Linked DNA regions of Arabidopsis thaliana. The protein of the gene in region 1 interacts with the protein of each later gene in a pairwise test. Each region holds a gene or a part of one and is shown on either strand. Other genes may lie near its edges.

The links. The genes of interacting proteins can lie anywhere in the genome.
Region 2: the proteins of AT3G54290 (region 1) and FSD3 interact in a two-hybrid assay, tested with the Arabidopsis thaliana proteins (one large-scale study listed by BioGRID).

The regions. Positions count from the first base shown.
Region 1 is NC_003074.8:20,103,489-20,107,964, reverse strand, and holds AT3G54290 (hemerythrin HHE cation-binding domain protein), read left to right. Parts: upstream 1-1,749; 5' UTR 1,750-2,119; coding exon 2,120-2,765; intron 2,766-2,855; coding exon 2,856-3,004; intron 3,005-3,084; coding exon 3,085-3,342; 3' UTR 3,343-3,613; downstream 3,614-4,476. Other genes in the region: RGD3 (ROOT GROWTH DEFECTIVE 3), read right to left, coding at 3,812-3,974, 4,162-4,319, 4,402-4,476.
Region 2 is NC_003076.8:7,848,141-7,853,220, reverse strand, and holds FSD3 (Fe superoxide dismutase 3), read right to left. Parts: upstream 2,778-5,080; 5' UTR 2,598-2,777; coding exon 2,511-2,597; intron 2,413-2,510; coding exon 2,323-2,412; intron 2,045-2,322; coding exon 1,853-2,044; intron 1,765-1,852; coding exon 1,593-1,764; intron 1,492-1,592; coding exon 1,418-1,491; intron 1,340-1,417; coding exon 1,313-1,339; intron 1,225-1,312; coding exon 1,201-1,224; intron 1,106-1,200; coding exon 980-1,105; 3' UTR 687-979; downstream 1-686. Other genes in the region: STE14A (S-isoprenylcysteine O-methyltransferase), read right to left, coding at 1-21; PYRD (pyrimidine d), read left to right, coding at 2,978-3,127, 3,329-3,411, 3,548-3,871, 3,959-4,214, 4,305-4,493, 4,575-4,604, 4,798-4,935, 5,035-5,072. UniProt on the Arabidopsis thaliana protein: Destroys superoxide anion radicals which are normally produced within the cells and which are toxic to biological systems. Plays important role in chloroplast development, particularly in the maintenance of thylakoids membranes.

The DNA of each region.
Region 1 (4,476 bases):
AGCAAAAGGTGAAGCGTAAAGGTGAGGTTAAGTAGGGCAAATCACATGGGAGGAACAAAAAAGGTAACAAAGTAATGTCTGCTAGTTGTTTTTTTACACCGTTTCTCGTTTGATAAAGCGGATATGAAATAATTTCATAAAGGGATATTTCGTACCTTTTCAATTATCCCCACATCAACTTCTCTGTCTATTGTCTACAGATATAAAGGGAGATATGAATAAGCATATATGGTTGGCTTCGTTTTTACTATGACTGAGGATGGTGAGAATTTATAGCCAATCAATTTTCTAAAAAGCAAATCATGTTATGGATTTTAAATATTCAATATAGGAATGATTCAAGTGTAAACATGGGACCTTATTGATAACAAACATAAGCAACCAAAGATAAAATACATACGTATTTTCAAATATACCACATAATCCATGAAATTCGATTTAGAGATCCCGATTTAGAGATCCATACATCTGCATGGTTTATAGGTTTCATGTACAACTAAAGCAAAATAAGCTGAAAGATGATTTTGGAGTAAAGAGCGTTTACTCTCCATAGTAGTAAATGTTGAATGTCTCTTTTGGTGTTCCAGTTTTCCAAACTTTAGCTAAATCTTAAATGATCATATTAACTTTCTAGTGGCATCCCAAAATGGCTGGCACGGGCCTGCGAGTAGATTAGTTGATAGTAATAGGAATTCTATCCAATAATTGATAAATCTCCAGATGACAATCAAACTTGAATATATAAACTATCAGAGATAGGTTCAATAAGAAAAAAAAAGTTGTGTGTAAGGACCCTGATGAGACAAGAGAGTGATCATAAGAAAGAGTTTTAAGTTATAACTGTTGAAAACTTCCATATCTCGATGCTTTGAATATTGATGTACTGTATATGACAAGATATCCTATCATTAATGAAATTCTTTCAGGTAAAGTGAAAAGTGAATTTCAATTCATGAAAAAGGAGAAATGGCTAATGTTAAGTAAAAATTATGAGGTTCATTAACCATAAAGGGTTGCACCAAATGGTGACCAAACCGCATAGTGTGATACGGTTCAAATAGTAACGAAAATATCTATATATATGTGTATATGTATATATTTTCGTTTAGAACCGTACCACACTTTATCCGCAGTTGAACCGCAAGTCACCATTAGCAAAAATATAGTTGCGTATTACTTAAAACCATTTTGTCAAAATACATTAAAGGTTTTTGGTTGCCCGAAACATGTATATTTTTATTTTAACCGAGGCCAAGAGTGATTTCTACGATGGCTTGATAGATCTATAAAATATACCAAAAGAAACCGAATCCTAATTACCATTGATTTCGAAATAAACAAGAACTGGTTTCCTAATTACCATTGAATTTTATTTTGGATTTATATATAGAGAAGATCTTCTTCAACAAAGACATTACACATATGCGGTGTATCTCGCAATAACTATAGAGAATCCTCTAAAATTGATAGATAATTGATATACAAGATGCCACTTTGAATTAATTACACAGAGATCTCTTCATCCACTTTTTGTAGAAAAAATCGGTGGCATAAACAAAACACTCAAAAAAAATCACAACCATAAAAGAAAACATTTGATTTCTTCCTCTTATCCTCAAATTCTCATAAAGTGTACAGTACACAATTCAACATTAAAAGTCGGAAGTATTTTTATCTAAAATTAGTACTACATATTGTAGTTTTTTTTAAGAAGCTAATCAAACATGTTTTAGATTGTTAGATCACACAAATAATTGTGTAGACTCATGACGACTATGACTTGACCAGTGATACAGCAAAGTAGGTTCCAAAGAGTCAGAAATCTCCTTTAATATTTTTTTTGAGGAACAAAGAAAAATATTCATTATTAAGAATTGAATTATGGGAAACACTTAAATGGTGAGAAAGAAAAATACTGAAGTCTCTCAAAGTTCCTAAAGCTTTTGGCAATATGATAATGGCGTGATACCTTTTTCTCTCCTCTCAACAAACGCGCCTCTAATCTCTCAATCTTCTCCAACTCCAATTTCTTGCAATTCACTCCAACTTCTTCTTCATCTTCTTCTTCTCTCTCTCTCTGAGATTCTAGATTTCGTTTCTCACGTTTTCTTCACCAAATATGGGAACCTGCTTCTCCAGCTCAACTAAATCCACGGCTGAGATCTCTCCCTTTGACCTCGTCGTCAAACCTCCTCCTCCTTCCGCCGCCGCCACCGCACCACCAACCCAACGAATCCCCACCGCGAAAACAGAAACATCGACGGTGAGCTTCACCGCAACAGTGAGATTATACGGACCACCTAACAGTCTAGTGACGTCGTATCTCCGTTTCGCTCTTCTCCACAAGAAAGTTCCGCTCCGTTTCGTTCCATCGGAAGACCAAAAACCGACGATTCAAGTCGGATCGGAGACTGTATCAGGTTCTCGAGAGGTTCTTCTCCGTTACATCGAGGATAAGTTCCCAGAGCCGCGTTTGATGATTTGGAAGTTTAATCTGGAAGGCTTCGACGAAGCGACTCCATTGATAGTGAAGATGATTTGGCTTCAGCATAGGAGTATGTTGTGGCATATGGAGAGGATGTTGAGATGGTCGGAGGATCTGGCGGCGCGTGGAGGTAAAAAAGCGGTGGATCCGTCTGTGGGAACACCGAAGATGGAGATTAGGAAATTTGCAAAGAGTTATACTCATTTACAGGAGCTTATGCTCGAACATGCTCAAATGGAAGAGAGAATCTTGTTCCCTGTTCTTGAATCTGTTGATCGAGGTAATTAAAGAGAATTGTTTAGGTTTAGGGAATGAATTTGATTATTGTTGTCAAATGTTGAAATTTTGATTTCTGTGAATTTGTGTGTAGGGATGTGTAAAAGTGCAAATGAAGAACATGGGAGAGAATTACCAATGATGAATGGTATCAAAGAAGATATCAAATCTATTGGAGTTTTGGATTCTGGGATTTGTTCAGAAGCTCTCTTTAGTCTTGCTTCTCGTTTCAAATCATTGCAGGTAAAGTTAAAATAACAATAACAAAAAGCTTCACTTTTGTCTGTTTTTGTAATGATTGAGGTTTTTGTTTTTGAACATAGATGATGTGTAAAACACATTTTGAAGAGGAAGAGAAAGATTTATTGCCAATGGTGGAAGCTGCAGAAATGGGGAAAGAGAAGCAGAAGAAATTGATGAATCAAAGCTTAGAAGTTATGAGTGGGACTCATTCTAACTCGTTTGATTTCCTACTAGAAGGTCTCACTCCACAAGAAGCTATGCAGTATATTGACTTGCTCATGACATTTGGTGATCCAAATCTTATCTCATCTTTTCTCTGCTCTGATGTTGTTGACTGATTTTATCCTTTTTAGGCTCACTTTGTGAAAAACTGTTGTTGTGTGTGGGGTTGTGAATTTTGTGTATATAGAGTCAGATTTGTCGATTCAGGTGTTGCTATGTTTTCTCATTCTGTTAAATTAAAAACAAAACAAAAATAGGTTATGTAACTCGTAAGAGGACGAGAGATGTTTCTAGGATGGTTATCCAAGTTTTCAGCAAGTTTTAATTCGATTATTATTTGATAATGGTGACTAATCTTCTAAGCGTGTGAAAACAATTGCCAATCATGGTTAGACCACAGGAGTAGAAGACTTGAAACAGATTTGTTCAAGAATTTTGATGGGCTTAATTTGTGTCGATTTAGAGAGGTTTGTCGATTACTCAAGGGTAATGCTTTTTCTTTTTACCTGTTTTATGCTTTTGGACTTGAACACCGACAAAACAAGGTAACAGAAAAAGTAGAAGAAGACTTGAAACAGAAACTAACTAAAAAAAGCTGAAACAGAAGAGGAAAAGCTGGTTAAAAGCGTATTTACACGATTCAGAATCCACTACAAAAACTACTTCGGCGGTCACAAACATTAGACCGGTCGTATTGCCAAAACTAACGACTCCGATGTCATCAACTTCTCTTTTCTCGTTTTCTCCTCTTATAATTTTAAAATCATTTCTTCTTTTAGGAATCTAAAAGATAGACGACAAAACAAAATGGAGACAAAAAAAAAGAGTGGATGTAACCTTTTTATGTGTTTGGAACGTCAAAATTGTTGGTTTCTCCTGAATCGAGCTGAATTAAATATGTACACAAATTCTTGGCTTCTTGGCTATGCTATTACCCGTTGAGCTTAGTTAAGAACTGGCTAAGATTGTACTCTTCTGTGTACTGTGATTGATCCCACAGTTCTTCTAAGTTTCCTAGAATTGCCTTCATTCCTTTTCCAGTTCCAGCAATCTGATCATTATCCTCTGATCCCTTCTTCGAAGACCCACCACCCTACAATAAAGACCGATTATTGAGGATTATCAATCTTCTTCTTTCGTTAGAGAATTGCTATTAAATAAGATGAATAGCATACCTTTTTAGACGTTTCAGCTGAAGCAAACAAGTCAAGCAACTGATCAGTGTTCATTGTCTTCATACTCGCATTCTC
Region 2 (5,080 bases), on another chromosome or scaffold:
CAGGGGATCCAAGAACTGCATAACCTCCTACAAAGGATAAAGAACGAGGAAATTCAAGTAAACGTTAACTCGCTATATACTCGATTTTATGAATCTTAACAATGAATTAGTTTTGGCATCAAGGAAACATATGATCTTGATCCAAATAAATCTTGTAATCTCTGAGTTATACTAGTATCAGTTTGACCATTTAGCAACCATACAAATGTAATATGAGGACTAACACTACAGTCTTTATGGCACTGAATCTGCCAAAACCCAGGTCCTACATGAACATTGAGATTTTACAGAAAACCCACCAACCAACACAACAATCGCATTGCAAGTTTCATACAAGGATAAATTTCACGAACACAAAGCTTGAAATTGCTTATCTTTAAGAAAATTTTCCCTTTTTACTCACGCAGTTATGGGCACGACTCCTAATCAATTGTAGAAAATTCATAGACGAGGAAATGAACAGAACCTCAAGAGCCCAATCGAAATCGAGAGTTTCCGCGAGAGCGAGTTGGGAAAATCAGGGAATTACCCGATGCTGAGGGAGTTCCACAGAGACGATCGCGTGAAACTTTGACGTTAAGGAGGAAGAAAGTTTATACCTTTACGTTGAAGTGAACGATGGTGTCAATCCCTATTGTCAGGAGACGAAGAAGAAGAAGAAGAAGAAGAAAAGAAAGAAGAGGAAACGGATACTCTCAGTCACGTGCGGGTCACGTGAGCCAGCCTTCGTTTTATTATAACTTAATAAGGGTTAATTGCGTCACTAACATTACTGTCACCATACAGGGCTCACTGATGATCTTAAAGCTAGAGAGTCTCTCAAAAGGCAAAAGAAGAGAAAACTGTCGCTAAATTACACAGAACAAAAAGATGGGTCACATTCAGAAAGCAACTCTTGTTTTGTTGGTTGGGACTTGGGACTTGAGACCTCTGTTTGCAAAAATGAGACTGCCCAAGTTTCCAAGGAGTTGTGTTTAGCTTAAGCGATTGGGATGTTGGGTTCACCAAGATTCACAAACGCTTCTGCACGGGCCATCCGACTCATGGCAGCGTTCCACGACACCAAGTGGTTCAGAAATGTGTTTATATACTTAGCCCTGTCGTTCTAGCAACCGGAGAAAGAAAGAAACAAACACTGATTTAGCCTTTTGAACGAACAAAAAGAACACAGAATGGTCGGAATTTAAGCTAGGTTTTTACCTTGTAGTCCAGATAATAAGAGTGCTGCAAAGTAAGATAAGAAAACGAAAGATATTAGAAAATGTTTCAAAGTGTTTCTTGGAAGAATGACAGAAGAGAGGAGATGGTGTACCTCCCACACATCCACGCAGATGATTGGCTGTAACAACAAAAGAGATGTGATCAAGAGGTAACATTAAGTTCAACAAGAAAACTAACTAATAAAACTCTAACATACAATATCGTCCCACACGAGTGGGTTAATGGCGTTTGAGGTTTTGACCACCTCAAGCCTTCTCTCTTCCCTCTTTACTGAAATTTTCCAGAAAAAAACAAAAAGAGAATCAAAATTTTCCATTTTCAAAGTCATTCTACAGTTTAATACCAAGTGAAAAGCTAGTCAAGTTTCTCACAGACAAGCCAGACCCATCCAGAACCAAACTGAGTAAGAGCTGCATTAGTGAACTTTTCTCTAAAATTTGTGAAAGAACCAAAATCCTTATCAATCTGCTCAAGAACACCCTTTTGAGGCGTGTCTCCACCACCAGGTTGCATCGACTCCCAGAAGAAATCATGGTTATAGACCTAAACAACAACATAATCATCATCAATCCTTCCAACATTAGTGTGTGCCTCGGGTGATAATGTACAAGTTACTTAGAATATAAAGTACCTGTGCAGCGTTGTTGAACTCGGGTAAAGGATTCCCGTTGTTGTATGTAGCCTTGATAAGCTCTTCCATGGTGTATCCATAGAGTCTATCATCTTTCCCTAACTGTTTATTCAGATTATCTACATAACCTCGATGGTGTTTTCCCCAATGCACTTCTAGTGTTCTTCTACTCATATACGGCTCCAAAGCATCCTATTCACATTTGTTTTTAACTCTAATTAGAATCTCAACTATACCATCTTCTTTGACATATCACCAAGGCCCTAAAGATCAAGACACATCTACTTTGCAAGATAGAAGATACACAGATCAAGACACAATCTTTCCTATACTCACAAGACAATTCACCCAAATTAACAAACTTTCTACAGTTCCGTGCTTAGTCGAGAACAGAATTGGATTACAGAAGCAAGACATAGTTACTACACTTAGAATCCAAATACAAATACCAAAGTCTTATTTGCACTTACAAGTGGATAAGGAGGTGTCTTTAGACCGTAGTAAGCTTCAACCTTTAAACCACCTCGAGACCTAAGAGAGCGTCTTCTCTGCTGGTTACTCTATAAGGAAACGAAATTTGAAAGCTTTAGTGCTTAAAAGAGATAGATTCATGTGAAACAGAACCACAGCAATTTCCATGTCACACAAAGAAACGAACCAGATTGAGGAGCTTGGGGGATTTCAAACGTATACTAGAATCTGAAATTGTATAGAAACAGCTTGTCGTCACAACACAAGAACTCATAGTTCCTCCCACTGTTGTCGTCAAAGTCTCACTTCTGCTTCGAAAGACAGAGAGCTACTTCGCACTCTTGGTCTCGCTTTTTCAGAGAAAGGGCCTTCCTTATCAATCTCTTTTCAAACCGGTTAACATATAAGATTTTACCCCGGTTAACTACATTAAACCGGTAAATCGAACCGGAAAGATCAACCTGAAGGAAGCAAGGGTTTTAGCAAATACTCTGACGATCCTTTGTAACCGAACAACAAACAAAAAGCGTATATTTTTCTCTCTATCAAGATTCAAGCCGTGAGCTAGAAGGCTAAAACCCTCTTCTTATAGATTTCAAAGCAACCATTTTCGAACTCTGTTTGATTCCACTGTCGATTTAATCATCTTACCTAATGGCCGGAAGGGCTGCGACGTCGTCGGCGAAATGGGCGAGAGAGTTTTTGTTCAGAAGGGTTTCGTCTAATCCTCTTGGAGCTACCCGTAACTGTTCTTCGGTTCCTGGAGCTTCTTCTGCACCGAAAGTCCCTCATTTTTCCAAGAGAGTGAGTAGCTTTGATGAATTTATTGATAAATTAATCTCATTTTTGGTTTATTCGAATCATATTGGAATCTTATTCCTTAAGATAAGGAGTTGCAACTCTTGTTTTGATCTGAATATGGCACATTAATTGGTGTAGTAGAGTTAGATCATTGATGCTATTTCATTTTACAAGAGCAAAGTGTTTGACTTTGAAAATTTATAGGGAAGGATATTGACAGGAGCTACCATTGGTCTGGCCATAGCTGGAGGAGCTTATGTTAGTACTGCAGATGAAGCAACCTTCTGGTACTTTACTTAATAAGTGCCCTGAAACTTAGTCTTTTTGTTCTCTTTGTTAGTTGACATTGCTAAGGCTACCTTGTAGTTACTTTGAGGAAGTCACTTTGTTTTTTACCTCTTACCTATTTTGTGTGTTGGACAGTGGGTGGCTATTCAACGCAACAAAGGTTGTGAATCCTTTCTTTGCTCTTCTGGATGCTGAGTTTGCGCATAAGCTGGCTGTTTCAGCTGCAGCTCGCGGGTGGGTACCTAGAGAAAAGAGGCCTGATCCAGCAATCTTGGGACTTGAAGTTTGGGGAAGGAAATTCTCAAACCCAATTGGGCTTGCTGCTGGATTTGACAAAAACGCTGAGGCTACTGAGGGACTGCTAGGGATGGGATTTGGCTTTGTTGAGGTAGGCTCTGTAACTCCTGTTCCACAAGAAGGCAATCCGAAACCACGTATCTTCAGACTAAGCCAAGAAGGGTGAGAATCTCTAATCTATAAAAGACCTTCAATGATTGAAGAAGCAAGATAGTTTAAACTAAAAGACTTATATTTTGGTCCTCCCAGAGCTATTATCAATAGGTGTGGATTTAATAGCGAAGGGATTGTTGTCGTTGCAAAGCGGTTGGGTGCTCAACATGGTAAAAGAATGTTGGCTGAAACATCAGCTACTTCGTCATCTCCAAGTGATGATGTAAAACCAGGGGGAAAATCTGGACCTGGTATTCTTGGGGTCAACCTTGGAAAGAACAAGACGAGTGAGGATGCTGCTGCTGACTATGTCCAAGGAGTTCATAACTTATCCCAGTATGCTGATTACTTGGTACAAACTTCTTACCATGATATATCGAACATGAATTTGATCTAATCCACCGTAGAATTCTTTGTTCCTAATTTTCATTTTTCTCTTCAGGTGATCAATGTTTCATCACCCAATACTGCAGGACTGCGCATGCTTCAAGGAAGGAAACAGTTGAAGGACCTTGTAAAGAAGGTTCAAGCTGCTCGGGATGAGATGCAATGGGGTGATGAAGGTCCTCCTCCTCTTCTTGTGAAGATTGCTCCTGATCTGTCCAGAGGAGAGCTTGAAGATATTGCAGCGGTACGTAGTACTAAAAAAGCTAAAACACATTCTATAGTTTTCAAGTAATTGGTTCTTACAACATTGTATTGGTTTGTGTAGGTGGCTCTTGCTCTGCACTTGGATGGGCTGGTAAGTTATCCTCTTATGAACTAACTTATGTTACATCAGTGTCAATCAATGAAGCCTCCAGTCTGTTTAACGTAGTGTAGTAAAAGCGATTAAAGTGTTAGAATAGTCTCTTTTTTCGATTGTACGTATGGTATGTTGCAAATCATAAAAGCTTTCGATGATGATGATGATACTGTCTTTGTTGGTCCTATAGATCATATCAAATACAACAGTCTCAAGGCCTGATGCTGTAAGCAACAACCCCGTGGCAACAGAAACAGGTGGTTTGAGCGGGAAACCGCTCTTTGCTCTCTCCACCAACATGTTGAGAGATATGTACACTTTGACACGAGTAAGTTCTTATCCTAAAAAAAAGATGATCCACTAATCGACCAATGAACTAAAACCTTTTCTGATGGGTTTTTGGATATTTTCATGTTCTCTTCCTTAGGGAAAGATTCCATTGATAGGCTGTGGCGGGGTTAGTAGGTAAACGT